Elephas maximus indicus: one gene and its partner. The protein of the gene in region 1 interacts with the protein of each later gene in a pairwise test. Links are inferred from orthologs where the notes say so. Each region holds a gene or a part of one and is shown in the gene's direction. Other genes may lie near its edges. The genes, in order: DMPK and HSPB2.

The links.
Region 2: the proteins of DMPK (region 1) and HSPB2 interact in a two-hybrid assay, tested with the Homo sapiens proteins (2 studies listed by BioGRID). The link is inferred for Elephas maximus indicus from reciprocal best matches to the Homo sapiens genes DMPK and HSPB2.

The regions. Positions count from the first base shown.
Region 1 is NC_064829.1:103,858,974-103,874,727, forward strand, and holds the start of DMPK (myotonin-protein kinase), read left to right. Parts: upstream 1-6,960; 5' UTR 6,961-7,132; coding exon 7,133-7,292; intron 7,293-9,605; coding exon 9,606-9,697; intron 9,698-9,967; coding exon 9,968-10,051; intron 10,052-10,129; coding exon 10,130-10,225; intron 10,226-10,796; coding exon 10,797-10,945; intron 10,946-11,349; coding exon 11,350-11,443; intron 11,444-11,814; coding exon 11,815-12,021; intron 12,022-12,101; coding exon 12,102-12,365; intron 12,366-13,024; coding exon 13,025-13,110; intron 13,111-15,754. Other genes in the region: DMWD (dystrophia myotonica WD repeat-containing protein), read left to right, coding at 210-392, 2,684-3,961, 4,798-5,039, 5,193-5,472. UniProt on the Homo sapiens protein: Non-receptor serine/threonine protein kinase which is necessary for the maintenance of skeletal muscle structure and function.
Region 2 is NC_064825.1:6,980,085-6,995,211, reverse strand, and holds HSPB2 (heat shock protein beta-2), read left to right. Parts: upstream 1-7,254; 5' UTR 7,255-7,898; coding exon 7,899-7,992; intron 7,993-8,503; coding exon 8,504-8,958; 3' UTR 8,959-9,008; coding exon of another isoform or gene 9,009-9,036; 3' UTR 9,037-9,158; downstream 9,159-15,127. Other genes in the region: CRYAB (alpha-crystallin B chain), read right to left, coding at 3,679-3,882, 5,350-5,472, 6,611-6,811; C7H11orf52 (uncharacterized protein C11orf52 homolog), read left to right, coding at 9,009-9,036, 11,995-12,043. UniProt on the Homo sapiens protein: May regulate the kinase DMPK.

The DNA.
Region 1 (15,754 bases):
CTCTTCCTGTGTGGTTTTTCTCAATACTCTGATTTGGGTCCCCCTTCCTGTCTGTGGTTGTCCCTGCCCCTTCCCACTCAACCATCCACCTACCCACTTCCCTCAGGGATTTAACCCTGTTTCCTCTTCGTGGTTTTCCCCAACCTCAGCACCCTCTTCCTTCCTCTCAGTGGTTTGAGCCATTAACCCCCTTTCTCCCATCATTTAAGTCCATTGACCTCAACAAGCCAATTGACAAGCGGATCTATAAGGGCACCCAGCCCACCTGCCATGACTTCAACCAGTTCACTGCTGCCACAGAGACCATCTCCCTGCTGGTGGGGTTCTCGGCTGGCCAGGTGCAGTACCTGGATCTCATCAAGAAGGACACCAGCAAGCTATTCAATGAGGAGGTGATTGTGGGTCCCCAGGTCCGTTTTCCCATCCACCTACACACATGCACACACATACTGTTTGCCCCGGGACTGCATCTGTCTGAGAGGGCAGGACGAGGAGAGATGGGGGATGAATTGAGGTATGTGAGGTAGGGTGACAGACAGCAGCGAGTGTGATAACGGCTAACAGTAATGACAGCTGTGCCTGCTGTGCCCAGGCCCAGTGCTAACCCTGAGTTCTTATCAACTGATGGGTAAGGAATCATGATGTCCACTTTGCAGATTAGAGAACTGAGGCTAGCAAGTATTTGGGACTCGGGTGATTCCAGAACCCTTGCTCTTCAAATTCTATGCTTGGTGGGCTTTGGATTCAAGTCCCTGCTATGCCATTTAGTGGCTGTTCCTCTCAGCCTCAGTTTTCTTCCTCTGCGGAATGGTGATTCCTTTTCCTGCCTGACAGGACTGTTGTTGTAAACTTGTACACGGACTGTGCTCAGTCCTGGGCTGACTTGGCCCAAGTGCAAATGTCAGTGAATGATCTTACTGCTCGACTCTGCAGCAGGGGCTGTGCTTGGCCTGTATCTCTTTCTCTCTGGTCTAGAGGGAGGTGTTCCGGAAATATTCTCAGAACGAGTGAATGACTGAAGGGAGTGAGTGTATTAAAAATGCATTAGCTCATCCATTCAGAAAATACTTATTGAGTGTTTATTCTGTGCCAGACGTCGTTCTCTGCACTGAGGACGTCATATCACAGTGAGCAAAGCAGACAAAATTCCCTACCTCCATGGAGTTTTCAGTCTAGCTGGGGCCGCAGACACTTTTCAGATAAGTCTATTGTATGTCAGAAGGTGATAAGTGTATGTCAGAAGGTGATAAGCAGGGAAAAACCTTTGCTGTTGGGTCGATTCCAACTCATAGTGACCCTATAGGACAGAGCAGAACTGCCCCATAGGGTTTCTAAGGCTGTAAATCTTATGAAAGCAAACTGCCACATCTCTCTCCCAGGTAGTGGCTGGTGGATTCCAACCGCTGACCTTTTCAGTTGGCAGCTGAGCGCTTTAACCACTGTACAACTGGGGCTCCTTCAGGAAGTGTTTGGCAGGTTTTAAATGAGGTGGTCAGGAAAAGCCTCACTAGGAGGTGACATTGAAACAAGGACCTGAAGGAGGTGAGGAAAGTTACCTGGGAAAGTGAGTGGAGGGAGCACCTAGCACAAATGCCCAGAAGCAAGGCAACAAAAAAGCTGAGTGGCTAGGTGAGAGTTGAGGGGAAGCGGGTTGGTGAAGAGGGGCCAGGTCATGTAGGGTTGGGAAGGCCATGGAAAGGACTGGCTTTTACTCCTAGAGAGACAGGCGCCTCTGGAGCAGCCTTTCTCAAACTGGTTTTCTCTTCTGAACCCTAGAGTACAGAAATGATATACAAGACGATTTCCTCAATTCTCCCAAGGTTGAGAGGCAACTAGGAATGTTCTAGATACTGGGGAAACAATGAATTAATTACACATAATGGTGCCTGAGGGCAGTAGGCCTTTCTTTCTGGAACCCTGGTTGAAATAGGCTGCAGTGGCATGTACTAACTTACATTTCAGCAGGCTCTCTGGCGACTGTGGAGAATAGTTCACAGGCATGGAGGCAGGGAGGCCAGCTGGAGGCCGTGGCAGGAACCCAGGAGCAGGTTGATGGTGGTTGTAGTGAGGGTGTGAGAAAAGGTCAGATTCTGGGTACATTTTGAAGGTTGAGCCCACAGGATTTGTTGATTTGTTAAAGGATTGGATGCAAGTTGTGAGGGAAAGAAACAAAAATGCCTAGAAGGTTTCTGGTCTCAGCAGCAGGAAGGATGGAGTTGTCATTCATTCATTCATTCGGGAAATATTTTTGAGGCGCCTCCTGTGTGCACCATTCTATGTGCGAGGGAGAGGACAGTGAACCAGACAGACAAAGATCCTTCCTCTGTGGAGCTGACATTCTATGAGTACATTTCTTGCCTTAAACCTGACACAGTAGAGATTGCAGAAGGGGTTAGACAGCTAGCAGACAGTAGCCTGGAAGGCAGGGTGGTCTCCTTTCCAAGGATGGGACATCGAGGCTCCACCGAGCTCCCTGTGGCCACCTCATAGGCAGCCTATACTGCCATCCGTGGTGTCCATCTGTCTTCCCTCAGTTTGGGAATTTCTCTCTCAGAGGGGCCTGGGCCTGGCATGACACCAGCTATGTGAGCTGGGTCAGATCTGAGGGCCATGTTGGAGGGACCAGGAGGTCTGCCAGGGGCTTATTGCTTCCTTCCAGCTGCCACCCTGTCTCTCTTGGCAGCGGCTGATTGACAAGACCAAGGTGACCTACCTGAAGTGGCTGCCGGAGTCTGAGAGCCTCTTCCTAGCATCGCACGCCAGCGGCCACCTGTACCTGTACAACGTCAGCCACCCGTGCGCCTCAGCCCCACCCCAATATAGCCTCCTGAAGCAGGGCGAGGGCTTTGCCGTCTACGCTGCCAAGAGCAAGGCGCCTCGCAACCCACTGGCCAAGTGGGCAGTGGGTGAGGGGCCGCTCAATGAGTTTGCCTTCTCACCTGACGGCCGGCACCTGGCCTGCGTCAGCCAGGACGGCTGCCTGCGCGTCTTCCACTTCGACTCCATGCTCCTGCGTGGGCTCATGAAGAGCTACTTTGGGGGCCTGCTCTGTGTGTGCTGGAGCCCCGACGGGCGCTACGTGGTGACAGGTGGTGAAGACGACCTGGTCACTGTGTGGTCCTTCACCGAGGGCCGTGTGGTGGCCCGTGGCCACGGTCACAAGTCCTGGGTCAATGCTGTGGCCTTCGACCCCTACACCACACGAGCTGAGGAGGCATCAACAGCAGCCAGCGGTGACGGGGACCGGAGCGGCGAGGAGGAGGAGGAGGAGCCAGATTCTTCAGGCACAAGCTCGGGTGGGGGTGCCCCTCTTTCCCCACTGCCCAAGGCCAGCTCCATCACTTACCGCTTTGGCTCAGCTGGCCAGGACACACAGTTCTGCCTGTGGGACCTCACTGAAGATGTGCTTTACCCGCACCCGCCCCTGACCCGTACCCGTACCCTCCCTGGCACCCCCGGCACCACGCCACCAGCCACCAGCAGCTCACGGGGCAGCGAACCCGGCCCAGGCCTCCTGCCCCGCTCGCTGTCCCGCTCCAACAGCCTCCCGCATCCAGCGGGTGGTGGCAAGGCAGGTGGTCCCAGTGCGGCAGCAGAGCCAGGCACCCCGTTCAGCATTGGCCGTTTTGCCACACTCACGCTGCAGGAGCGGCGGGACCGGGGGGCTGAGAAGGAGCACAAGCGCTATCACAGCCTGGGCAACATCAGCCGTGGGGGTAGTGGGGGCAGTGGTGGCAGCGGGGACAAGCCCAGCGGCCCCACCACCCGCAGCCGGCTAGACCCAGCCAAGGTGCTGGGCACTGCACTGTGCCCACGTATCCATGAGGTGCCACTGCTGGAGCCGCTGGTGTGCAAGAAGATCGCCCAGGAGCGCCTGACAGTACTCCTTTTCCTGGAGGACTGCATTGTCACAGCCTGCCAGGAGGGCCTCATCTGCACCTGGGCCCGGCCAGGCAAGGCGGTGAGTCCCCCAGCAGCTCCCCAGAGCCCGGCAGGTGGAGGTGATGTGGGCTGAGGGCTTTGTCCGTGTCACAGACTGTAGCCCCATCGGATGAGGAGAAGCTGACCTCTCAGGTCTTAAAGCGATGGCTTCTCAAACCCTGCTACATCAGTCAGCAGAGAGTTGGGTAGAAGAGGCAACAGGGAGTGTTGGGAACTGCGGCCGGCTAAAAAGCCCTGTCTGAGGGCAGCCAGTTGGCATCAGGCGGAAGCATGGCCCAGCCTGGCCAGGTCTCCGCTTGTCACATGAAGCAGAAAATACTGCAGGCCAAACCAGACACATCTGTGGGCAAGCCCAAACCTGTGGGCCCAGCTGTCAGCCCAGGTCTTGGATATTTAGCCTCCAAGCCTGTGGCTGAAGGCACAGCTGGCTGTAGGATCGAGTCCAGGGATCCCGTCCAGCACTTCTGCTCATGGCGTGACCTCAGCAAGCCACCACCCTCTGACCTCTGTCCTACCACCTGGAGCAGAGAGGCTTTAAAATGGGCAGCTGGTGGATGTGCCCCCTCCCAGGGTGGGTGTGGGGTTCAGGAACCTCACAGTAGAAGAAGCCCTGGGGCCTGGCACCTTCCGAAGCCAGGAGCTGTGGTCTAAGGAGGCTCAGCTCCTGGGCATTCAGGCTTAGCTGCCCAGGCTGTCAGATCTTGGGGCCGCAGCCTTGTTCTTTGGAAGAGTGGTTTTGGAATCCTAGAGGCCTGGGTCCCTAGAACAAGAGAGCAGACTCAGGGTCTCCAAGGCAAGGGCATCGGAGTCTGGGGAGCCTGGCAAGCCCTGAAGGAGACCCCTCTATCTCCCTAGTTCACAGACGAGGAGACTGAGGCCCAGACAGGGGAAGGAAGTTGGCCCAGGTCACCCAGCAAGTCAGTGGTAGAGGTAGGACTGTCCCTTCCAGACTCTCGGGACCCCTCCCAAGTCAGAAGGGCACCCCAGCTTCCCCTTTTTCTCTGTACCTCTCCCAACCCTGCCCGCTCTGCTGAGGATCACCCGAGGACTTTGTTGTCTAAAAGTACCGACGTCGGGCCAGGGAAGGTAGCCGAGATGTGAGTGCCAAGCCTAGAGCAGTGGCCTCAGTCTGGGGGTCGGGGGTGGACTGCGGGGCAAGGCAGTGGGGGACTCCAGGCTGGCCCCTCCCCAGAGACTGGCGGAGCACAGGTGGTCTCTAACCCCTCCTGTCTCCCCCTCGTCTCCCCCAGGGCATCTCCTCCCAGCCCGGCAACTCCCCCAGTGGCACAGTGGTGTGAGCCGTGGACTGCGGGCGGGGTCCCCACCCTGTGCCCCCAGTCTCCTCGCCGTAACCTCCCTGCTGACCTCACCGATCAACGTATTAACAAGACTAACCATGACGGATGGACTGCTTTGGTCCCCGCCCTGCACAAAATCAGTGGGCAAACGGTCCCCCAGTCTGGCCCAGACATTGGGGGATACAGTAGCCCATGTGGCCTCAGCCTTGCCCCCACCCACTGCCAAGTATAATGACCCCTTCCTCTGAGACATCAGTGTTGTTACCCTCATCCCTGTCCCCAGCATGTGACTGGTCACTCCTAGGGAGAAGTCCCAGCCCTCTAGAGCCCCAGCTCTCTGTGCTGTGCCCCTCTGGCCTGGTGGGCAGGGGAGGGGGTGGCTGCCCCTTCTCTGGCCCCGCACCCTCCCCTTGCCTTGTCTGTCCTTTCCTAAGAGTGTTAAATTATGGATGCCCCTTGGGGCCCTCCCTGTCCCCCAGGACCTCTTATTTATACTAAAGTTCCCGTTTTCAAAGCCCCAGGCCCAGCGTGTGTCTGTTCCCTTCCGTGGAGGTATGGAGGGAGTGTGTCTGCTTCTGCTGCCCTTCTGGCATCAATCCACTAACCAAGGATGAGCCCTGGTCCTGCCCCATCTCCTCCTGCCCCTTTGTAATAGCAGGAAAATCTGAAGCCTGGAGGAGGAGTTACTTGTTCTCTATGCCTCCAGGCCAGCAGCTGGCCTGTTCTGAGCAGGGCCTCTCCCTCCATTCTCTCAAGGGCAGAGGGCAGCCAGGACCCTTGATGAGAGTTTTCAAAGTTGTTTTAAGTGCCCAAACTCCAATTGAACTATTACAGCTAAAAAGGGGCCTGCCCAGCTGGGGGTTCCCGTAGGCAGCTCCTGAAGTGCCTGGCAGGGGGCCCCTGGGCTAAGGGTCTCTCAGCTGACCGGAGGACCAGTCTTTGGCCCTTAGTGTCTCATCTGGGTCTTCTGGGGCTGAGCTTCCCTCTCCAGGAGAACTGCCTACCCCTGGAAAGAAAAAAAAATAAAATCCCTTCTGGCTGGCTGTCTGCAGCCTGAGGGGCGGTGTCTTCCCGCTCTACCCGCCACCCCCCGAAATGTCTCTGTTTCTAATCCCAGCCTGGGCAGGAATGTGGCTGCCCGGCCAGGCTCCAAAGAGCTATTTTGGGGTCTCCTTTGCCTGGGGGGCCTGCCTCCACTACTGGGCTCCCCCAGGCTTTGGCCCATGGGTCACCCCTTGTCCTGGCTCCTGAGGGCCTCCCTTCCCGGTTCTCCCCTCACCATTCCTTCCCCACCTCCTGCCAAAAAAGAAAAAGTTAGTGTAAAGCAAAGGGCCGGAGGGCTAAATTTAACTGTCCCAAAGTCGGAATCCATGGCTGAGTCACCAGAGAAGCTGCCCTGGCCTCCGGGCCCCCCTTCCCAGGCCTTGGCCCCTTTCTCCTCCCCTTCACCCCAGGGCTGGGGGGTGCCTGGATCACTCAGCCTCAGTTGGCCCCCTCTAGGGAATGGAGGGCTCATCTTTAGCAGCTGTCATACCCATAGTTGTCCTCTATGTGCCACCTTTTTATTGGGGGGGACGAGAGTTTTAGATTCTACACACATTCCCCCATTTAACACAAAAGGTTCAGAGGGGCCCTTGAAGGAGGGAGTGGGGGGGGGCTGGCTTGTGAGGGGTTAATGCTGGGAGGCAGGAGGGGGGCTGGACCAAGGGGTGGAGAGAAGAGGAGGAGGCCTCAGCAGCAGAGAGAAGTGGCCAGAGAGGCCCAGGGGACAGTTAGGGACAGGCAGACATGCGGCCGGGGCCCCAGGGCATGGTCAGGGGCTGCCAGGCCCCGTGACGGGAGGACCCCAAACCCCCGGCCCGGGGAGGGGGCCATGGTGCGTGCTGGCCGACATGTCAGCCGAGGTACGGCTGAGGCAGCTCCAGCAACTGGTGCTGGACCCCAGCTTCCTGGGGCTGGAGCCCCTGCTCGACCTTCTCCTGGGCGTCCACCAGGAGCTGGGCGCCTCCGACCTGGCCCAGGACAAGTACGTGGTCGACTTCTTGCAGTGGGGTGAGTGCCAGCTGCGTGGATCGCTGGGGGGTGGCAGAGGCTGGAGATGGGTCTGGGGGCAGGGGCCTGGTTTTGGGGGGTCAGATGCAGGGTGGGCATGGGGGAGATTGTTCCATTCAGAGACCCAGACCTTGAACCCAGGTCCTGGAGTGATATGCCAGCAGTGGCCAGGGCAGCTATGACTCAGAACAGGCTTGGGAGCTGGGCAGGCTGGGCTGAGCACAGCCTCCTGTAGTCCCCTGCATCCCCCTCCCCAAATCTAGGCCTAGGGCCATGCTGGCAGTCCCATCTCCTGGGATCTTCCCCCAAAATGGGCCCTCTGGCCTTCCCACCCTGGTTCTCCAGAGCACAGGGCAGGCGCTGAGGGACAGTATGGGGCAGCTGCCAGGGGCGCGGCCAGTGGGCAGGTGTTCGGCGCCAGCCTCTCCAGTTGCCCCAACAGGTGCCCAGGCACGGGAGGGTGTGGTGACTCAGGCTGGCCCTGGGGGAGAACCAGCTCTGCAGACAGGCGCCACCCAGCACCCCCTCGGTCCCCCAGGGTTGAGGAGGGCCAAGTTGGGGCTCTTCTGGGTGTGCCCACCTTATAGATTCCATGATCCCAACCCCTCCCCAGTGCCTTGGTCCCTACTAGCCTACTAGTTGATTACTTGGTCTGCTAATCCTCCTAGTTCAGGGCCTCCAACCTTCCTGCTGTCTCCAGTGTTCCTCTTACAAGGTCCTTCCAGGAGGATGAACAGGCCTGGGGATCAGGAGGGGAGATGCTGCAACCTCAGCTTCCTGCCTTGTGTGCCCCCCTCCCACCCAGCCCAGGACTCTGGTTTGTGTCTCTCTGACACCTGCCACTCTGTGTCTGCCACTTGTCTGTCCCTCAGTGGCTTGCACTTGGTCCTTGGCCTCTGTGTGTCACTGTATATTTGCTGCCTCCCCACCCATTCCTGCTCCCTCCTTGCCTGTGTCCAGCCTTCTATTCCAGGCTGGGCTCCTCTCCATCATCCTCCTCCCACTTCACAGGTGGGAAGGTGGAGGCCAGAGGGCCAGGCCACTTAGCCTCTGAAAACACTTCTCCCACTTCCCCCAGCCCTTAGGAACTCTCCCAGCCTCCCTTTTGCAGAGGATGGCAGCCCTGCTGGCAGGGTAAACTGAGGCCTAATGGGGGCGGGGGTCTGGCTCTCCAGGAAGGAGCACTCCTTTTGTGGCCCGAGCCTGCATCTAGTGGCCCCTCCTCCTTCAGGCGGGCGGGGGAGGGGGCCTGGGTTCCCACTGCCTTAAAAGGGCTCAATGTCTTGGCTCTCTCCTCCCTCCCCCGTCCCTCGGCACTGGCGGGCTCTTCCCTGCTGGCCCACTCTGCCCCAGCCCCGTAGGGCCCCTCTCTGCAGCCTTATTTCTTACTGGCAGAGGGCACCCAGTCTCCCCCATTCTTGCTTGTACTGGTCCCTTTCTCCGTCCTGCCTCAGGTTCCCTGCTTCTTCCACCTTCTCAGAACCCAGGCCTCCCTCTCCCACTGTCCCTCCACCCCAGGCCAGAGCCCCTCTCTCACTGCTGTGTTTAACATCCCCAGCTGTGTGGGACCTGGGGCCAGTGACTTCACCTTTCTGAGCCTTGGTTTTCCCACGTGTAAATGAAGGGTCATCACAGAGCCCTCCTGGCATCTGGGAGGAGTAAGCTTGTCCACCGCTGGCTCTGTCTCCCTCTGCCTTGCCTTCTGCGGCCTCATCCCCAAGCCCAGTGTTCTGGTGTGGTACAAGAGCCACTGCCTCTGCACCTAGATACTGGATGAAAACGCATGTTCCAGACCATAACCCAAGACTTACTAAATCAGAATCCTGGGGGTGGGGCCCAGGAGCTGGCATTTTAACCGTCACCTTGGGCGGGGGGGTGGGGGGGTGGACGTTCCCAAGCCCAGGGAAGTCTTAAGCACTGTGGCCTTATTTCTGCTCCTGCTGTTCCTCAGGGCCTCCCCTTCTGCAGTGTTTGTTACCCGACTTTGCACCCTGTTCCCCTTTGGCTCAATGCCCTGTCCCCAAAAGGACTTCCCAGGCATCTCATCTCGATGGGAAGGGAGTTTTGGGTCCTCAAAATCTCTCACAGTGGGTATGTGGGAGGCAGTCCCTAAGGTGAAACGGAGAAGCAGTGAGAGAGGGAGGCATAGAGGCAGAGACGGGGGAGAGCGAGAGGCATAGAGAGGAGACTGAGGGGCAAGGAGGAAGTCATCGAGGGGCAGAGATGGGGAGACCGAGGGACAGGGAGAGGAGGGCACCGAGGGTGTCCAGTGTCTGCCCCAGTGACACGCAGTTCTCGGCCTCCCATCCTCAGCGGAGCCCATCGCGGCGAGGCTTAAGGAAGTCCGACTGCAGAGGGATGACTTCGAGATTTTGAAGGTGATCGGACGCGGGGCGTTCAGCGAGGTGAGAGCGGAGCGGCGGCAGGCAGGGCTAGCCGGGGCAAAAGACGAGAGTGGACTTGCGGTGGGCGGGGCCTTAGAAATTGATGAATGGCTGAGTGCTAGAACCTGACCGGGCGGGGTATGGGGGCGGGACCTGATGGGGTGGGCGTGGCGGCTGGGGGCGGGGCCCCAGCGGGCGGGGATGGAGTGGAGTACCGCCTGGGCAAGCCTCGCCCTCGGGTTCCACTGCCGCGTCCCACCTCCGCCTGCGCCACCCTGCTTTGACCTTTAGGTAGCGGTGGTGAAGATGAAGCAGACGGGCCAGGTGTACGCCATGAAGATCATGAATAAGTGGGACATGTTGAAGAGAGGCGAGGTGAGGGCCGGGGTTGGGTGTGGGGGTGTGGAGGACCTTACCTCCCACCCCGATTCAGCTCTTCCGTGTGCCGCTTAGGTGTCATGTTTTCGTGAAGAGAGGGATGTGCTGGTGAACGGAGACCGGCGCTGGATCACGCAGCTTCACTTCGCCTTCCAGGACGAGAACTACCTGGTGAGCGCGGGCCACGGTGACTGGAAAGAGGGACCGCAGGCCCGGGGTGCCAGTTTCGGGGCGGGAGGGGGAGAGGGAGGAGCTCTGGGAATGCCTGGGAATGCCTGTGGTGGTGTGTGGTAGGAATGGGTCTCAGGTAAACGAGAGGCCTTCCTTACCTGGGGTGGGAGACGTCTCTTACCGCTCGTTTCTCCAGGGTGATTCTGGGGACCTCTGTGCAATAATGTCTTTTCTGGGGAAGTCTTACCTGGAGTGGGATTAGCACTCTGGGGTCTCTATGTGGGGTCACTGGACAAGGGGCACTTTGGGCCTCGGGAGATATCTGGAGTCTTTTTTTTTTCCCCCGGAATGTCTCTGGGGGAGTCAATCTCAGGTGACATCTGGGAAGAACATTTTATTTTGGGGGCGGGGTGTGCTCTCAGATTTGGCCTGGGAGATCTCTTGGGCTGTCTCGGGGCTGGAGTTGCCGGTTTTCTGTTCGCGGATGGAGCGTCTCTGGGAGCCTTTGTCCCGGGTGATCAGCGAGCGGCCTAGAGGGGCTACTGACCCCCCATAACATGCCCCCTCCCAGTACCTGGTTATGGAGTACTACGTGGGCGGGGACCTGCTAACACTGCTGAGCAAGTTTGGGGAGCGGATCCCGGTCGAGATGGCGCGCTTTTACCTGGCTGAGATTGTTATGGCCATAGACTCGGTGCACCGGCTGGGCTACGTGCACAGGTGGGCGAGGCTGGGGCTGAGGGGCGGGGCCTAGAGAGGGTCCACAGAGATGAGGGTACACGGAGATGGGGCTCACGGGGGGGCGGGGCCTTAAGGGCCGGCCCCAAAAGAGATAGCAAAGGTTGTATTCTTGGGAGGGTCTTGGGTCCCTGAGGGGTGGGACTTCACCTCTGGGGCCCACTGGGGGCGGGGCCTGAGGAGTAGTGTCCAGAGTTGTGGAATCCCCACAGGGGTGGGACCTGATGAGGTGGGCCTGGGGGCGGGGCCTGGAGGGGTGGGAACTGGAGAGGACTGCCCCGAAGAGATGCTGCCTAGAGGGGCGGGGTCTGGCGGGTTGGCGGGAAGGCGGTGCACTTATTCTCCCTTCCCCTCCCGTTCCCTCTCTTCTTCTGCCTTCGACGCAGAGACATCAAGCCGGACAACATTCTGCTGGACCGCTGCGGCCACATCCGCTTGGCCGACTTCGGCTCCTGCCTGAAGATGCAGGAGGACGGAACGGTGAGCGGGTTCGGCCGCCGAGGGGCGACTGAGACCACAATGAGGAGTGGGCTCTGGCGTGGGGCGGTGCCGGGTTAGGGGAGGGACTTATATTACGTGGGTGGGGCTTGTGATCCATGGGCGGGGCTAGATCATGGGGCAGAGCCAGAGCAGAGGAGGGGCTAGATCTGGACGTAGTATGGAACTCTGAGATGGAAGAAGGTGACCCAGCAGAAGTAACTGGGTGTGGGGCAGGGTTGGACCAGACAAAAGGAAAAACTAAGCCTTTGGGGCGTGGTTAGGAGGAGGAGGAGGAGCAGAGTTCAAGGATGGGGGAGGAGCCAGAGCCCGGAGGGGCAGGGCTCGATCCCAGCTCTGGTCCTGTGGTGCAGGTGCAGTCGCTGGTGGCCGTGGGCACCCCGGACTATCTGTCCCCCGAGATCCTGCAGGCCGTGGGCGGTGGGCCTGGAACTGGTAGCTACGGACCGGAGTGTGACTGGTGGGCGTTGGGCGTGTTCGCATATGAAATGTTCTACGGGCAGACGCCCTTCTACGCTGACTCCACGGCTGAGACATATTGCAAGATTGTCCACTACAAGGTGAGCGCCAGCCGGAGAAGCCCTCATGCCCCTCTGCACGTGCTCCCTGGCTAACATCTCCCCTCACCACCTCCGGATAGGAGCACCTGTCCCTGCCACTGACAGACTCAGGGATCCCCGAGGAGGCTCGAGATCTCATCCAGAGGCTGTTGTGTCCCCGGGAGGCACGGCTGGGCCAGGATGGAGCAGGCGACTTCCGGGAGCATCCTTTCTTTTTTGGTCTTGACTGGGATGGACTCCGGGACAGCGTGCCCCCCTTTACACCAGACTTTGAGGGCGCTACGGACACGTGCAACTTCGACGTGGTGGAGGATGGGCTCACTACCATGGTGAGCGGGGGCGGGGTAGGTACCTGCAACCCCTGCTCGCGACAAAGGGGACCCCCATCTCTCCTCCATAAGGTTGGGGTAATGACAGTGTCCACCTCCAGGCGCCCTGAGAGCATTAACTCATCAGAGCATCTGCTCTGTCAGTGCTGGGGATCCAGTGGGGACCTTGACCCACAATCAAGTGGCATACACAGCTGCATTCCCAGACAGTGACTCCTGGAGAGATCAAGGCTAGGACCAGGCAGTCCATAAGGGGTCCTGACCCAGAATGAAGGTCAGGGAGGGCTTCCTGGAGGGGGTTATCTGAGCTGAGACCTGGAAGATGATGGGAGAGAGGAAGGAGAGGGCCGTAACAGAATCCTCCTTCCTTTAGCTGTCTATCTCACACAATGTTGACCAAGCTATCCCAGAGTGCTTGCTCAACTGTGGGTGCTCTTGTGCTGGGCAATGCCTGGTCCCTGCCCTCATTCCCTCAGGTCTAGAGAAGTATATACTTATTCTGTGTCAGGTGCCCTGAAGGAAAGCAACAGGATACAAGAAATAATGGGAGGGGCTGCTTTAGATAGGTCCCAAGTTGGGGTGGATTTTTTGAGGGGGGACATTTCAGCCCACATTGGACTGGGTGGGGGCCAGCCCTTCCAACCATTGGTCACTTCTGTGCTTGTTTTGTGCAGGAGACGCTGTCAGACATTCGGGAGGGTTTGCCGCTGGGGATCCACCTGCCTTTCGTGGGCTACTCCTACGCCTGCATGGCCCTCAGGTAAGAGCTGGCACTGCGCTGTCTCATGAGAAAGAGTGGGACCGGGAGTCCAGAGTTTCCTCCTGGCTCCTGGGCACAAGGAAACCGTTGCTGATTCCAACTCATAGTGACCCCATAGGACAGAGTAGGACTGTCCCATGGGGTTTACAAGGCTGTAAATCTTTATGGAAACAGAGGGCCACATCCTTCTCCTGCAGAGCCCCTGGTGGGTTCAAACCGCCGACTTTTCCATTAGCAGATGAGGGCTTAACCACTTTGTCACCAGGGCTCCTTTTGGCGCACGGTAGAATTGCAGGATCTGTTTCGGAATCTTACTGTCTTGGGACCAAGACTCTTAGGAGCCCAGAGTTGTAGGACCTTAAAATCTCAGACCATAAGTATTTTAAAATTTTAGATTCAACCGTAAAACCTTAGGGCCACAGGCTCAGCCTTCCAGATTCTTCCAACTTTCAGCTTTTCAGTCCCCAGGGTCATAGGACCTTAAACCATAGAAAGCAAGAATTTTATAGTCAATTGTAAAAGCTCACAAATTCATTGACTCACTCATGTACTCATAAAATATTTCAAAAACATTCATTGCACAAATAGTAGGTTGCTTATTGCAAAAATAGATTAGAAAATATGGATAAGCAAAAAGAAGCAGATGTACCTTAAGGCCAAGAAGAGGAAATAAGAAAGCTTACTGAGAAGTCTGAAAGACAGAGTGAGAGGCCTTTCTGGTTAGTAGGACAGATTACGCCCAGATTTATGAAAATCATAGTATAGGGTGCAGCTTTAGTTATTGGATGAAAAACAACAGGCTGATTTCGATATTCATTTCTAGGACTCTTCAGTGTAGTAGATGAATTTGGTTAATAAATTCTTGTTCATTATGAAAAAAAAAAGCTGCCCACCATTCAGCAGTGACTGGTGGTAGGTGTACACCCACGTACACACATACATACACACCTACACACACATACACTTAACAACCATGAAAGCCAAAAATCTGTTGCTGTTGAGTCAAGTCCGACTCGTAGCAATCCTCTAGGACAGAGTAGTTTCCAAGGAGTGCCTAGTGGATTCAAACTGCCAGCCCTTTGGTTAGCAGCTGTAGCACTTAACCACTGTGCCACCAGGGTTTCCTAACAACCATGTGAGTGTGTTATTTTCCAATCTGCTTTTTTGAACAATGTACAGTAAGTCTCCAAATCCGATTTTCTGACTAGTACCCTTTATGTTGTTATGTAAACTTGCTCTCACTTTGAAACAATTGAACTACCCCCTACTAGCAACAAATTCCGCACTCCTTCACTTGCAGGGAAAACCCTGGTGGTGTAGTGGTTAAGATCTATGGCTGCAAACCAAAAGGTCGGCAGTTTGAATCTGCCAGGCGCTCCTTGGCTACTCCATGGGGCAGTTCTACTCTGTCCTATAGGGGCAGTCGGAATGGACCTGATGGCAAGGGGTTTGGTTTGGGTTAGTCACTTGTAGGACCAGCTTTTAAATCTTTGAAAAGGTTCCCAGCCTTTTCTTGCACTTAAACCAGAAAACCCATTGCTGTTGAGTTGATTCCGACTCTTGAACTCAAGTAAGGCTAAATAAAAACCATATGCACCTGTTCGACTTATCTACAAATTCGATTTAAAGACACACTTAGGAACAGGTCTCGTAACTTGGGGACTGCCTGCATTGCAAATTCCATTCTTTACCATTAATGAACTACAATAATTTGGAACTACTGTGTGGTATTCTACTGAATGGATGGGTGAGGATTTATTTAACCCATCCTCTGGGATGAGTAGCCAGCAGGTTGGTCTGGGTATACGTCCAGGGTAATTAGGTCCTTGGGGCATCTTCCCACAAGTGGGATTGCTGGGTTAGAGGGGACATTCACTCTTTTTTTAAAAATATACATAATATTTTATTGCTTTTTCAATGAAGGTTTACATAGTAGTTGAGGTTCCCATTCAGCGATTTCTACACAAGTTGTTCAGTGACATTGGTTACTTTCTTCACAGTGTGTGAACATTCTCAGTATCTCCATTCTGGTTGTTTCCTTTCCATTCATCTAGTTTCCCCACCCCTTACATTTTCATCTTTGTTTGAAGGTAATTGTTGACTATTTAGTCTCATGTAGGTGATTTTTTTAAAAAGAGTGCAGTACTTATAGGTGATACTCAATATTTTTTAAGCCAATTTGTTATTTTAGCTACAAGGTAACTTCAGGGGTTAGCTTCGATTCAAAATTTGAAGAGTATTGGGACATACACTTTCATTGTAATTTCATACTCCTAGGGAAGGTCTGCCCACCTCACAGCAGCTGAGTGGGTGGGGGACATGATAACATTTAGAGTCACAGTCTTGGGATCCTTGGAGGTAGCCAGAGCTAAAAACAAACAAACAAACAAAAAAAACAAAAAAAAACAACCCCTTGCCATTGAGTTGGTTCCGACTCTTAGCAACCCTATAGGACAGGGTAGAACTGCCCCATAGGGTTTCCAAGGCTGTAATCTTTATGGAACCAGACTGCCCCATCTTTCCCTAGTGGGGCGGCTGGTGGGTTCGATCTGCTAACATTTTGGTTAGCAGCCAAGTGCTTAACCATTGCACCACCAGGGCTCTTTGTGGCCAGAGGGAGGTGGAGACAATTGGGTCCAAACTG
Region 2 (15,127 bases), on another chromosome or scaffold:
CCCTCTATTGTGATCCCTCTCAGAGCACAATCTAATTATACTAAACTCAGTCTGGTGGAGGCTGTGGTAGTTGTGGTCCATTAATCTTTTGGACTAATCTCTCCCTTGTGTCTTTGGTTTTCTTCATTCTCCCTTGCTCCAGACAGGGGGAGACCAGTGGAGTATGCTAAATGGCTGCTTACAAGCTTTTAAGACCCCAGACGCTACTCACCAAAGTAGGATGTAGAACATTTTCTTTATAAACTATGCTATGCCAGTTGAGCTAGATGGTCACCAAGACCGTGGTCCCCAGGCCTCAGCCCAGTATTTCAGTCCCTCAGGGAGTTTGGATGTGCCTATGGAAACTCTGATGGCGTAGTGGTTAAGAGCTACGGCTGCTAACCAAAAGATCAGCAGTTCAAATCCATCAGGCGCTCCTTGGAAACTCTATGGGGCAGTTCTACTCTGTCTTATAGGGTCAATACGAGTCAGAATTGACTTGATGGCAATGGGTTTTTTAATGGAGCTTCCATGACCTTGCCTTGTACAAGTCGTGCCAACTTCCCCAGTATTGTATACTATTTTACTCTTCACCAAAATTACCACTTATCTATTGTCTATTTAGTGTTTTTCTATCCCCAGTCCTCTCCTCCCTCGTTGTAACCATCAAAGATTGTTTCTTTTTGTGTGTAAACTTTTTCATGAGTTTTTATAGTAGTGGTCTCATATAATAATTGTCCTTTTGTGACTGACTTATTTCACTCAGCATGTTGTGAGATGCTTCGCAGATTCATCATTGTTCTTTACAGTTGCATAGTACTTCATTGTGTGTATGACCATAGTTTGTTTATTCATTCCTCTGTTGATGGGCACCTAAATTGTTTCCATCTTTTTGCTATCGTGAACAATGCTGTAGTGAATATGGGTGTGCATATATGTCTCTTCAACAATGGCTCTTATTTCTCTAGGATATACTCCTAGGAGTGGGATTGCTGGATCATATGGTATTTCTATTTCTAGCTTTCTAAGGAAGCACCATATCATTTTCCAAAATGGTTGTACCATTTTACGTTCCCATCAGCAATGCATGAGAGTTCCAGTCTCCCCACAGCCTCTCCAACATTTGTTATTTTCTGTTTTTTTGATTCATGCCAGTAATGTCAGGGTGAGTCTGAAGATTTTTTTTAAAACATAAATATCATTATCTAAAAGTCAAGTGTGATTTAAGACCAAGTTATTAAAATTATGTCTGCTTGAGATCACCCCTTATAATTCACTAAATTGATTATAGTTAATGCAACCTTAAAATTATATCAGAAATCATTATTTTGATACACAGTTCCTAGAGTGTTCCTTAGTTTTTTACACTATTTAAGTCCTACCAGTAACAGAAAACTCATGTCCAAATAAACAAAAATAAGACATGAGACTTCTTGATATAGGTTCAAGAATTGGTTAATTCAGTAATTCAATGATCCGTCAAGGACCGAGAGTCATACCATATTCCTGCTCCCTTCTTCAGCATATCACATTTTGGGTGTCACGTTCTCATGCCCCAACATCCGGAGACATTCATATACAAAAAGATCGCTTTTTGTATATGAATCTTTTTTAAAAGCTTAGAAGCCTTGGGACTCGGGCAGACATGACTCTAGCAGCATGCTTGTCCATTTTCCTTCTTTTGTCTGTTCTGTAATATTTCCTTGAACTCCGGCATGCTTGTTGGCTTCCCGCTTTTGCCTTTTTTAATATATTTTGAATAAAACTTTCTTTATGCTTAAAAACAAACAAACAGAGAAGCCTTTTCTAGGAGCTTCTCCAGCAGACTTCCTTCATGGCTTATTGATGCAAATTGGGTGATAACCTTTCAAAATCAGTCACTAGTAGAGGAAACGGAATTTCCATGATTTATTTGGACTAATCAAGATTGTCCACCAACAGTCAGAACTTTTTTCACCTTCCCTGAGCACATGGCCTAGGAAGAATGTAATAAATACCTAAACCATTCTGAGGTACTGTTGACAAATTGAAGGGGGTAAGTAGCTGTTGGGTAGGCAGCCAGGAGTGTCTACAACAGAGCCACAAAAATCATTAAGTTTAGAAGAATCTGACTTCTGGCTAGATCATAGCATTTCAGACTATTAGGAAATTGTTATTAACGACATTTTGAACCTGTATAGATTTACAATTTATATTGCCTTAGTTCCATGCCCTTGCATCATGAAAAACTTAGACAACTATTTTGTATAGAATATTTTAAAAGCTGTAGGCTTTGTGAGGGCAAGAATCGCACTTTACTTCATGGTCAGGTAGCAACTCTTGAGAAGTAAGAAATTCTGAAGCTGCTAGAGGAAAAATTAGAGTAATCTCTAAACGCTTATGCCAGATAACCTGTTGTTGTTGTTGTGTGCTGTTGATTGGATTCCGACTCACAGCAACCCTATAGGACAGAGTAGAACTGCCCCCATAGGGTTTCCAAGAGGCGGCTGGTAGATTCCAACTGCTGACCTTTTGGTTAGCAGCCTGAGCTCTTAACCACTTTGCTACCAGGGCTCCCAGAACTGCCCCTAGCAGGCCTGTTTTTCATTAATTGGGTTAGAAGTTTTGTCTAGACCCACAAAAGTGAAATGGAGGTATTTTTGTAGGATAATATCTTTGTTTAAACTAAATAATAGAATCACTTATTGATCAGTTAGTAATTCTGAAACTTAACTTTCTCCTTCTGGGTCATCAGACTGGATGTCTCCCAGTCTTAGTTCAATAGGCGTTTGCTGGGTAATTCAGAGACCGCATCTGAGAGGCTTGTTCAGTGATACTCACCCAAGTCCTGTTTATTGCCCTTGTGAATCAGCTGAAGGCAATGCTTATCGGTAGGAAAAGGTCAAATAACACTGCAGGCACATCTACTCCCCAGTGACGTAATTAATATTAGCCACGTACTAAGATCTTTTGTATGTTGTTTTCCAGAGTTTACTCCAGTTGTTGAAACTGAGGGCTAAAATCAGAGAGGAATAAGAGGAACTGACATTCTTAGAACTCTGGCAGGGGCTTTACTTACTCCTTCTCCTTAATTTACCCCTTCGAACAAAAAAAAAAAACCTAAGCCCATTACTATTGAGTCAATTCTGACTTATGGTGACCCTACAGGACAGAGTAGAATTGCCCCATAGAGTTTCCAAGGCTGTAATCTTGACGGAAGCTGACTGTCACCTCTTTCTCCTGTGGAGTGGCTGGTGGGTTCAAACTTCCAGACTTTCAGTTAGCAGCTGTGTGCTTAACCACTGCGCCACCAGGGCTCCTTCCCTTTAGAACAACTCTGTACAAATCACTGCCCCATGTTATAAATAGAAAACATGAAAATCAGAAAGGTTAAGGTACTTGCCTATATTTTACACCATTAGTAAGTGGTAGAGCCAGCCTTTGTGACTCTAAAATCCCCCCCCAAAAATTTTTTTTTCAGGAGCCCCCAAAATCATAATGTGACGATTAAATACACATCTGTTGGTATTTGTACATGTACTTTTTTTAATACATGGTGAATATTCAAACACAAGACAGTTATCTGTTGCTGAATCATATTTTATTAGCTTAATAACGGGCCTGCCCTTAGCATTAATAAGTTTCAACACTAGTCACAAGGCTTTCATTCAGTGGTGGGGAAGCTTCTTGTTTTAAAAAACGTAATTAGAGAAAGGGCATCTATTTCTTGGGAGCTGCAGTGACAGCAGGCTTCTCTTCACGGGTGATGGGAATGGTGCGCTCAGGGCCAGGGGCCTGTTTCCTTGGTCCATTCACAGTAAGGACCCCATCAGATGACAGGGATGAAGTAATGGCAAGAGGGTCCACATCAGCTGGGATCCGGTATTTCCTATGGAACTCCCGGGAGATGAAACCATGTTCATCCTAATCCAAGGGAACGAGGAAAGAAGCAGAGAGATAAGAGCAGGAAATAATACTTCTCGCCAAAACCTCAGACAGCCCCGCTCCCCTTAAAAAAAAACCTGTTGCCATTGAGTTGATTCCGACTTATAGCAACCCTGTAGGAAATCCCATAGGGTTTCCAAGGAGTAGCTGGTGGATTTGAACTGCTGACATTTTGGTTAGCAGCCAGGCTCTTAACCACTACACTACCAGAGCTCCTTACTCCCTTTAGGTAGAACCAAATGCCATGGCAGCATGATGAGAAAAAGCTAAATAGCTGTTCATTTCAGTTTGGTGCTAAGACAAAGTCACTTAGTGGTCACTGCTACCAATAAGAGTCTGAGAAGTCTGAAACACCCCCAGAACTTCATAGTTCCCTAGACCCTGAGGCATGGATATGTTTAGGTATATTTCCTAAAGATTTAGATCAATGTTGGCTGGGCCTATAGGATATGAATCTCATTTCAGCAGGCCAGTCCCTGAGGAAGCCCAGAAATTGTCCTTACTCCAGGAATGTTCCAGACCAAAAAGACTGCTGCTAAAGAACAGTTACTCCATCCAGGGAGACTGTGACCCAAACTTAAATCGAGTGAGCAAAGCTGAATCAGCTTGAGGGTGTCAAACGGTTCTGTTTGATGTACAAAGTTCTAAGTTCTCACTAATTGGTGAGAAGCATGTTCATTTAAAAATTCTCCCAAGGAGTAACAAGAAGCTGTTCCATTCTTCAGAATCCCCAAAGAGTACTTAGCCCTAACCCTTATACTTGCTAAATCTCAAGCATTTATTCAGGTAGACTTTCAGTGAACTGATTACCAGTGGGTTCTAGGGTATTAGGAGCTAAGTACAGTTCTGAAAAGTAGACAAACCAAGTAGTTCAGCAATAAGATGGGTTTAAGCAGTAGATTCCTGAACATCTAAAGGAGTCACAAACTCAAATGCCTTTAGGGTGGATGCAGTCAATGTCATTATGTGAAGCAACCAGGTGTCTGACAAGCGCTATGCCTAAATCAGGGGTTCCCAGCCTAGACTCAACACTGGATTTACCTAGTCAGCTTTAAAAACTACTTACACGTGGGTCCCACCCCTAAATATTCTGATTTAATTAGACTGGAGTGCACCTGAGCATTGGGATTTTTTAAAACTCCCCTGATTCTAATTGGCTAAGGCGGAGAACCACGGGCTTCAATGAAGAGTGAACATTCCATACATCCCCTCTAAGGCAATCATATCAAAACAAACAACACAGGCCACTTCTCTGCCCCCCAAAAACAAAAAACCTGAAACAAAACAGGTTTGTCACTCATTTAGTCTCCTAGCTACCGATGTGTGACCCTGATGTAGGCCCTTACGGCTTGGGACTGGGATGTTGCCAGCCTCAGAGGCTGATGGCACTGCCTGGCATAGAGCAGGCACTGAATGAATGGGTGGAACTAAACACAAGCTACATACCTGGCGTTCTTCATGTTTGCCATGCACCTCAATCACATCTCCCAGCACCTTGACCTTGAGATCCTCTGGAGAGAAATGCTTCACATCCAGGTTGACAGAGAACCTGTCCTTCTCCAGGCGCATCTAGAAATAGCAGAATGGGGCACAGGAAGAAGGGATAGAAGAAAAGATGCCAGGAATGTTAATTATCTTGGTGTTAATCTCATTCTGTAGAGTTGTTTTCTGTCCAGGTAGTTTATCTTCTTCTTTTTTAGCCAAAAATCTCTTTTTGAATAAGTATGGCTCTCTGGGGTAGCCACCACAGTGGTACCCAAAGCATAACACTTGGTTATCAAGCCCAAACTTTATTTACAGGGACAGGGATGAAAGACAGGCCACCCAGGGGGACTTAACAAATCACAAGGACGGGCCTGGCATGGCTTCTGCTGCTGCTTAACCCCAATGCCTGCTCTTGTCATTTGTCTGTAAGACAAAGGCCCCTTTCTTCTTGCTCGGGTCTCTGCCAAGTTTCCCACCCACTCAATCTGGAATATTCTGCTGGTCCTGTTTGTCCTTCCAACGCCCTTGCTCACTCAGCTACTGTTTACTCATACTTGAATATTTTTAAACCAGAGTGTTATCTGTGACAGCTTCTGCCAACCATATCTGTTCACCCCGTACTCCTCCCACTCTTTTAGGACAAGTGAGGGGGTCCCAAGACCAGACCTACATTCCTTCCTCATAAGGCTTAGATACAGGCAGTGCCCAGTTACAACTATAAGAAATGCGGAAAATCACAGAAGAGGGAATAGAAAGGAAGAAAATAATGGTTGTTGTCTCCGGTTCCACCCAACAGGGATGAAAGCTCAAGCTGAGGGAGGACTGTCTCCTGGCTCTGAAACTTGAGATGATAAAATCTGTCAGGAGTATGATACATCATAAGAGGTGAGCAAAGAAGTCTGGAGGCAGCTTTTCTACTGCAGATCTTTATGAACCGAATTAGAGAAGGGGCATCCTGCTTGGAAGTTAGCAGACAGAGGATGATCTTCATAGTGCACGGAGAAACGTAATAAATAGGATGCAGAGAAGCTTCAAATAGAAACAGGTGACTGGGAGAGGTGGGTGCTAGGGACCTTATCTTTCTTCATGTCTGGACACACATCTAACTGAAACACTTATGAGACTTGAGCATAATCAGGTTTAGTCAGGGAAAGAAAGGAAAAAAGAAAGAGAAGAAAAGTTCCAGGAAGAGCTCTCCCGTTCTGGCAGAGAGGAGACTCACCTCTGAGAGCCCAGTGTCAAACCAGCTGGGTGCCCGCAGAAAAGAGGGTGGTCGAAGATAGAAGGGACTCAGGGAAGTAGCAGTTGGGAAGAGATCAGACTCCAACAGGTGCTCTCCAAAGAACTGGTCAAAGAGGCGGCTAGGGGAGTGGAAAGGAAAGAAGGGGCGGCGGATCCAGGGATGGTGGATGGCGATGTCCATGATGGCTAGGTGAGTGTGGGGGGTCAGCTGGCTGGTCAGCTCCTTCAGCCGCAGCTACAGCCAGCCCCTTATATATGCAGTCTTGTGAAGCTTCTGGAATGGTGATGTCAGGGGTTTTATTATCCCAGCTCACCGCCCGTTCATGGAGACTTGTGATCGGGGATTTGGCAGTGTGACACATACCCAGTACTCACTGAGCTAAGAAAAGAGAAACACAAACACGTCTGAGCTGGCCAGTAACTTGTCCTGGTCTTGTTTCACTGGCTTTCTCATCTACATCCCATGGCAGCCCCCCACCCCCCCACTTCTGTTCTTGGGGACTGGGACAGAGTCAGGAATCCCAGGCAGGCGGGTGTTGTGCCCCTCCCCCTCCTCTCCGGTCTTGCATGCCAGGGGAATCGGGCCAGCAACTATCTTGGGCCTGTGCAGGGACTGGAATCTTCGGAGGCTGTGCCCCAGGAACATTAACTCTTGTGGGTCCCTGAAGCAGTGATCATGTCAGTGCCAGGCGTCTGCGTGGGTTTCCCTGGGTTGACCTGGGTTCGGGAGAGGACCCTGACTAATCTGGGCAGGAAAACCCTCTCCCCACCCCACACCACCCCCATTAAGCCCACAGAGAGGGTAGAAAAGTTTCTTTCATCTTTCACTCTGCCAGGCTCAACAGAACTTTACATCCAGGAGTGCTTTATGAAGTACGACACACTGTGCCTGCGACTGAGGAGGAGAAAGGGTGGTGTGGAAAATGTGCAAACTGTTCGTGAGGGTCTCAGCCGTGCCTCTCCTTAGCTCCGGCGCCAGCCTCCCTTCCCCTAGCCCTCTCCCGAGCCAGGACCCCCAGCTGTCATCTCAAGCACCCTGCGACAGCTGAAGGGGGGGAGGGGTCGGGGGTCCGGACGGCGCTGGCTTCACACTCTTCGCCCGCACTCAGGCCCCCGCTCCCGCCCTCCCTCCAGAGGCTCGGCACTATTTTGGGTGGTGTAGACCCCGCCCCCACCTCCGACCGAGCTGCTCTTCGGGCAGCAGGAGGGGTCGCGCTGCGCCTGTTGGGGCTGCAGCTCGGAACAGGGCCGCCTACGCGTCTACAGCCATGTCTGGCCGCTCGGTGCCGCATGCCCACCCCGCCACCACCGAGTACGAATTTGCCAACCCGAGTCGCCTGGGTGAACAGCGCTTCGGAGAAGGTATGGCACACACGCCACCCCCAGCCTCCCACCCCCACCTCCTGAAATTCTGGGCTGACCTCCCAACATTACTGGCCTCCACCCCACTTCAGGCTTAACTGAACTCCTGGGGCGAGCCATCTCCCACCCCAGGCTGCTTTCCCCCACCTCCAAGTAAGAGGGCTCTTTCTCTTTCTTACTGCCCTCAGGACAGACTAGGTGCCACGATACTCAGATCCCTGCCCCTTGCCCCACTTGGTGTGCCTGCTTGTTCCCCATCTATCCACCCTGCCCCAGTTTGGTTTACCCTCCCTCACCCCATCTCATTTCCTTTCTCAGTTCTGTCTCCCCAGCTGCCTCCTTCTCTTCCCAGTCACCTTGTCCCTTTCTCTTCCCCTCCCTGCTTCTCCTGAATCCCTCCTGTGGTCCCAATCCGTCCTCATCTCTTGATCAATTCTCAAAACATCCCTGTTCCCACCTCACCTTCCTCATCCTGCTTCTTTCCTTCTCTTTCTCTCTCTCTGCCCCTCAGGCCTCCTGCCAGAAGAGATCCTGACCCCTACCCTCTACCATGGCTACTATGTCCGGCCGCGGGCTGCCCAAGCTGGGGAGGGCAGCAGGGCAGGGGCCTCAGAGCTTAGGCTCAGTGAGGGCAAGTTCCAGGCATTTCTGGACGTAAGCCATTTTACCCCAGATGAGGTGACCGTGAGGACTGTGGACAACTTGCTGGAGGTGTCTGCCCGGCACCCCCAGCGCCTGGACCGCCATGGCTTCGTGTCCCGGGAGTTCTGCCGCACCTATGTCCTGCCTGCTGATGTCGACCCCTGGCGGGTCCGTGCTGCTCTCTCCCATGATGGCATCCTTAACTTGGAGGCCCCTCGGGGTGGGCGACATTTGGACACAGAGGTCAATGAGGTCTACATCTCCTTGCTCCCGGCACCTCCTGATCCAGATGAAGAGGAGGAGGTGGCCGGAGTTGAGCCCTGACTGCCACAGACCCAGCACCCAGCAAATCCCTTTTTACTTCCCAAGGCGTGATGCTAGCAGCTGCCCACCATCCCAGAGGTAGCAGCATCCTTGGGGGAAGGGAAAAATGCATGGTCCACAATATATTGTTTGGTCCCTTGGGACGTGTCATAGCCTTTGGCTTAGTTCTGGGTAGAGTTGAATAAACCCAAATCTCAGGGCTTTGTTTGTGCTGCTCCCTATTCTGTGGCCTAGAGGAAGGGATGAGCAGGGAGGGAGGAGGTCATAGCTGGCTAGACATAAAGCACCTCAGTTAGATGTGCCATCGTCACACTTGGATGCTGAGATCACGCCCGGAAGCTGGCATTGGCTCCAGATCAAATTCCTAGCCATAATTTTCTCACAATGCAACAAAAGAGAGAGTGATCCTGGGAGGGGAAAGGGATATGCCATCCAAACAGTCCAGAGGACACTGTCTGAGCTGGTGATTAGAGACACAAAAACAAGAGTCTCCAGACTGTCTGGCCCTTTTTGGGTAGGGGTTGGGAAAACTGGCTGGAGAGAGTTGCCTAAAACAAAATACTTCATTTTCTCATGCTGAGGTCTGTTCACAGGAAATGGTCTCTGATTCCGAGAGACTAAATATGCATAGACAGGGACACAGACACAGGAATCCCTACCATTATCACCACACCACAAAGATTTCTCATGCTCCGCACAGAGGAGGCCCAAGAAGGAAAGCATTTGTCTCTAATCTTGGAACATCCAAAGAAAGACAGGAACTATCACATCACCTCAGCCAGTCAACCCAAGACCCAATGCAGGGGATCTAGGGCTATAGGGTCGCTATGAGTCAGAATCAACTCAATGGCAACAGGACTATTAGTGTAATAAGACAGAAAAAAAAAAAAATACAGTGGTGGTGACTGCCAGGGAAGCTTGCCTTGGACGTCTAGTACTAAGTATAGTCCTAAGACTAGGGGCATGGTGTATTTAGGAAAGCCTAAGGTCATGACCCCTCAGTCATGCTTTGCAGTCAAGAGAGCATGCATGCGTAAGATTTAGGGGGTGTGCAGAAGACCTCCCTGCCCCAAAACACATCTATGGTAAAAAAATACCTCAAATTCTTCCTTTCAAGTGGTGGTTCTTAACCTTTTTGGGTTAGAGACCCCTTTGAAAATCTGATAAAAGCCATAAACCCTCTTCCCAGAAAATGTACATGCCCCCAAATTTGGCTTTCTCATCCCTCTTAGCGATTCATGGACCACTGGGGTAAGGACCCTCACTTGAGGAATTCAATTTTTGGTTAAAGGTTGCCTTCTATTAAAAACGTAAGCATGCCTCAGAAAAATAACTATATTTTTGCTTTTTCATTCATTCAACAAATATTTATCAAGCCCCAGATAATACATCCTAAAGGTTATACACTGTAAATATAAAAAATATGTATGTTATTCTCTACTATCAGGAATCTTACTGTCTAGTTGAAAAAAGAATTTTTAAAAAGGGATCCATCCTACTCAGACTTCAACCAGAACAGCTTTGATCTGTTTTGTAATTGGGGTTTTGACACGAGCTTTATAGAAAAGATTGCTTAGCTAGAAAAAATATGAAAACCTCTGATTTAGTCCAATTCGTCACCATATTCTTCTCACATTATGAGCCAACTGTTGCTGGGACATTTTGAGTGACAGAGAACTTAAAACTTCATCTAGTAACACACTCCATTTTTTTTTTTTTTTTTTTTTTTTGATGTATCTGTTACAAGTTCTTCCTTCTATTGAACCAAAATCCTCATTTCAGTAACTTCTGCCTGTTGATTCTGGTTATGTCCAGAAAATAAATGCGGTTCTTCTTTCACTTGAAAATCCTTCAGGTATTTAAAAATAACCATCCTCTCCTCCTAAGGCTTACGTTTTCCCAGCTAAACATAACTAGTTCTTTAACTGTATCATATAGCAATTCCCATACTCTTGAACACATTGCCTTTTCGTAATGTAATTTGAAATTCAGCATCTAGACCTGAAAGTATTATTTCCAGTCATGGAATGGTATAGAGTTCAGTGGAAGAAAAAAATCCCTGTGTTTAACACTCTAGATTTCTATTAATGCTGCTTAAAGTACATAGATTTCCTGGCTACACAATACACTGTTAGTACCTTTAGAGTTTTTGGTCATCTACGATATTTTAGGGGCTTTCCTTTAGATTACAAAGGATATGGCTGGAAAGGGATCAGATTGTTTATGGTTTTGAGTGCCAGGCTAAGAAGTTTGAACTTTACTCTGTAGGTAACAGGAAATCAGTAATGGCTTTGTGGGGAGGGAGTGGGGAGTGTAATAGGACAAAAAGAATACAGTTAATGGCAGAATACTGAGTGGATTACAGGGAGAAGCCGGCCATGAGATAATAGTCTAGTGCCATGATCTAGGCACAAAACTAAAAAAAAGTAACATAAAATGCTTTATCATCTGAGAGTTAGCAGAGACACTAGAATAATAAGAATTATAACGACGTTGTTGTTAGCTGCCATGGAGCCGGCACGACTCATGGGAATCCCATGCACAGTGGAATGAAACAGTGCCAGGTAGTGGACTAGAGCTTTATATACATTATTTTATTTAATCGTCACCCCAATCCTATAAGGTTGTCACTCTTATTATTCCTGTTTTTCGTAAAGAAAGAAGATGGGGAGGAGTTAAAGAGTTCAGGGTACTCTGGAGTGCAGGCTGGGTGGTGGTTCCTGAATATCCGTAAACCTGTTGGCGGGCCAATTCGATTCTCAGCAAACCCACAGGACAGAGTAGAACTGCCCCATAAGGTTTCTGAGGCTGTAAATCTTTGCGGAAGAGGACTGCCACATCTTTCTCCTGCGGGGGGGAGGGGGGCTGTGAACCTTGACCTTTCAGTTAGCGGCCGAGTGCTTAACCACTGTGCCACTAGGGCTCCTCCCAAATATCTATAAGGGGCACATAAACACCTAGGCATCTGGGAAAGAGAGTAAAGATGGGGGCGAGAGCTCTGAAGACAAACCTTACACGTTTCATAAATTCTCCTAGAGCCCATATCTTCTACAGAAGAATTTGCTCCACTGCGTCCTAGCTGCTGGTGAGTGTGAAATGAGTCTAACTTTGGCTTATTGGGTTGAGGGGTAAGTGGAGGGTCTTTGGTTCTATACCAGGGATGGGGGCGTGATTAAGTAGTGCTGAGGCCAATACAATCATAGAATCATACGCTTTTAGACCAAAAAGGAGATTAGAAAAAGAGTTCAGTTCTCCGTTTTATAGTCCTAGAAACCTAGGACCTAAAAGGTTAAGTGATTTATCCCTTAATGCTGATAGCCAGGGGGAATATACAAGGAATCCATTTCCCTAAATTCAAGGATCCTAGAGACTCCAGTATTCAAACCCAGATTCTGGACAAGAATGTTAAGGAACCGGCACCCGTAGTTACCTGCCAAGTGAAACTCATTTAACCTGAGTGGCGCTGAGGAAGATAAGGTGGAACCCTCTTACTCCACTGTAGAAGAGGCATTTCAAGAACAATGTGATGTAGTGGGAAAGCATTTCCGAAGGAAACTCAGAGCCCTTTTCTATCTCAGGTTTCTTTTTATTGAACCTTGAAGCTCAAAGTTGATGGCTTCATCAAAGGAGTCCCAAATCCCAAAGGTGAGATAGCTCTCACCTGGAGCCTGGTGTGTGCTGATCTGACCTTGGCTGGGAATAGAGTCACCTGGGAATCCTTCCAGCAGGTGGCTTCCAAAGTCCAACCTGCTAGGTTGAAATCTGACACTGACAAAAACTCCCCGCCAGCTGCCAATGAAAACTAAACTGGGAAGCAGGAAATGCATAAGCCTCTTAATGTAGAAAAACAGCTGGGCTCCCTCGGAGACCGCGCACCATGGGAAACCGACTCTGCTGCGGGAGAAGCTGGTGAGTACGGGGAGAGAGCGGAGGAGGGTAAAAGTCTCATGTTGTTGGATGTGGAGGTCCTAAGCTGAGAAGAATACCTTCCCCTTCATTACAAGCGTGAGTGAGAGAGAGCCTGGAGATAATTCTCTGCCGACCTCCCACTGCCACCTCCCTCTGCTGGCACTTCCTGATTCTAGCACCAGAGCAGCACCCCTTTCTGTGATTCCTCCTTTCAGGAGATCGCAAAACACACAGCCAAGCCAGCTGTCTAGAATGGCCAGAGCAGGGCTAGAATGGTGAATAAGACATTGTTTCTCTTTGTCATCCTCTTTCTCCCCTTTTCTTTTTCTCCCTTTTCTCCTTCCCCAGAGATGATAATAGCTATAGCATTTGAGAATTTACTCTGTGCCAGGCACTTTACAAATAATCTCGTTTAATTTTCACAACTCCGTGAGGAAGTGGTTTTCCCCTTCCCCCCATTTTACAGTTGAGGAAGCTGAGACTCTGAGAAGTTAAGTAACTTGCTCAGGGCCACATGACTAGTAAGTAAGTGAACCAAGATTCCAACCCAGGCTTGTCTTACTTAAGAGCCCCAACTTTTAACCACTACATAATATTGCCTTCCAGAGCAAGCAAATCAGTTTGGAGAAATGTTTATTTAAAAGGGCAGAAGTGGGAAGAAGGAGATTATCCAAAGAATATCTGAATGTATCTTTCACACTTAATTGCTGGGTGACCTTAGGCAAGTCCCTTAACTTCTCCGTCCCTCATCTGTAAAATATAGCTAATATAACCCATCTTGTTTATATCATAAACTTGTTTTGAAGAACGAAGAATATGGTGTATGTGAAAATCTCATAATAAATTATTTGTGGTAGTCTTGTTCTTTCCCAGAGTTGTTATCACTTTAGACCCTTGGGCCTGGTTTTATCCTGTCCACTGCCTTCTTGGCTATACCATTCCATGCCTGGGTCAGATCTCGAGGATGTTTTATTTATAAATAAGGTATCATTATATTTAGATACAGGTGAGGCACACTGGAAAGTACATAAGATTTGCAGTCAGTACATGGGATTTATGTTCATTTCCTACTATTCAGTCATGTATCCATTTATTAAATAAATATTTACTGAATACCTACTGTGTGCCAGGTGCAGTGTTAGATCCAGAAGACATAGTAATAAAAAGGAAATTTGGTCCTTGTCTTTGAGTAAGGCATCAAAGTCCTAGGGCCTTAGTTGGCCCATGTAAAATGGAACAATAATATGTGTTTCCCTCAGTGTTGCCAGGATTGAACAAAAACATATAAAGCTCTTAGAGCACTCTTTAAACTATGAGATGTCCTCCAGACATAGGACCTCTGTTGTTTTTGTTGTTGTTAGGTGCTGTCCATTCGGTTCCAACTCATAGCAACTCTATGCATAACAGAAGGAGATGTAACAGTTCCTTTCGCTCCTGCTCCCTTTTCCGAGTCTTCACCTACTTCATTATTGGCTACCTCTTTCCCTGAGTTGTAATAGTCCTGGTAGTTGTACTAGTCAGCTTTTACTGAGGCTCATTATATTCCAGGTGCTTGTATTTATTATTTTATGTAATCCTTACAATAATCCCATGAGGTTTAGGTTCTATTATTTGTTCATTTTATTAACGAGAAATCAGAGGCTTAGAGTGGTTAAAAACTTGCTAAAGGTCACACAGCCAGGAAACATAAACGTTCTGACGCTGGAACCCGTACTGAAACCACTAGACTCTAGCCAAAATCTTTTTTTTTCCTCATAGAATATTAATAAGATTGTGTAAAAATTGCTCTTATCTATTTCTCATTATCTCAGTACACTTCCGGACACTTAAAGATACTGTGACAATTTCAGAGTTTACAAAAATATTTTGGATTTTAATTTTTTTTCTGATTACAAAAGTCATAACACACATTTACTGAGGAAAATTCGGAAAATACCAAAAAGTGGAAAATAAGCAAACTATAAATATAAGCACTCAGAGGTGATAGTCAGGAACATTTTAGCATACGTATTTCCATGTAATCCTTTTTGAATGCATGTGTGCACAATTTTTATTCCAAAACACATCTTACATCTTTTTTTTCTAACTTAATAAGAAATAAATTTATCCATGATGACAGAGGTTCTTCCAACATCTTTTTTAAAATGGCTGCATAGTGTTCTACTGATTGGATATACTATTTATTTGTTCAATTCCCAAATGTTGGACCTTTGACATATTTTCAATTTTTGTGTTTTTCAATAGTACTACAACGAGCATA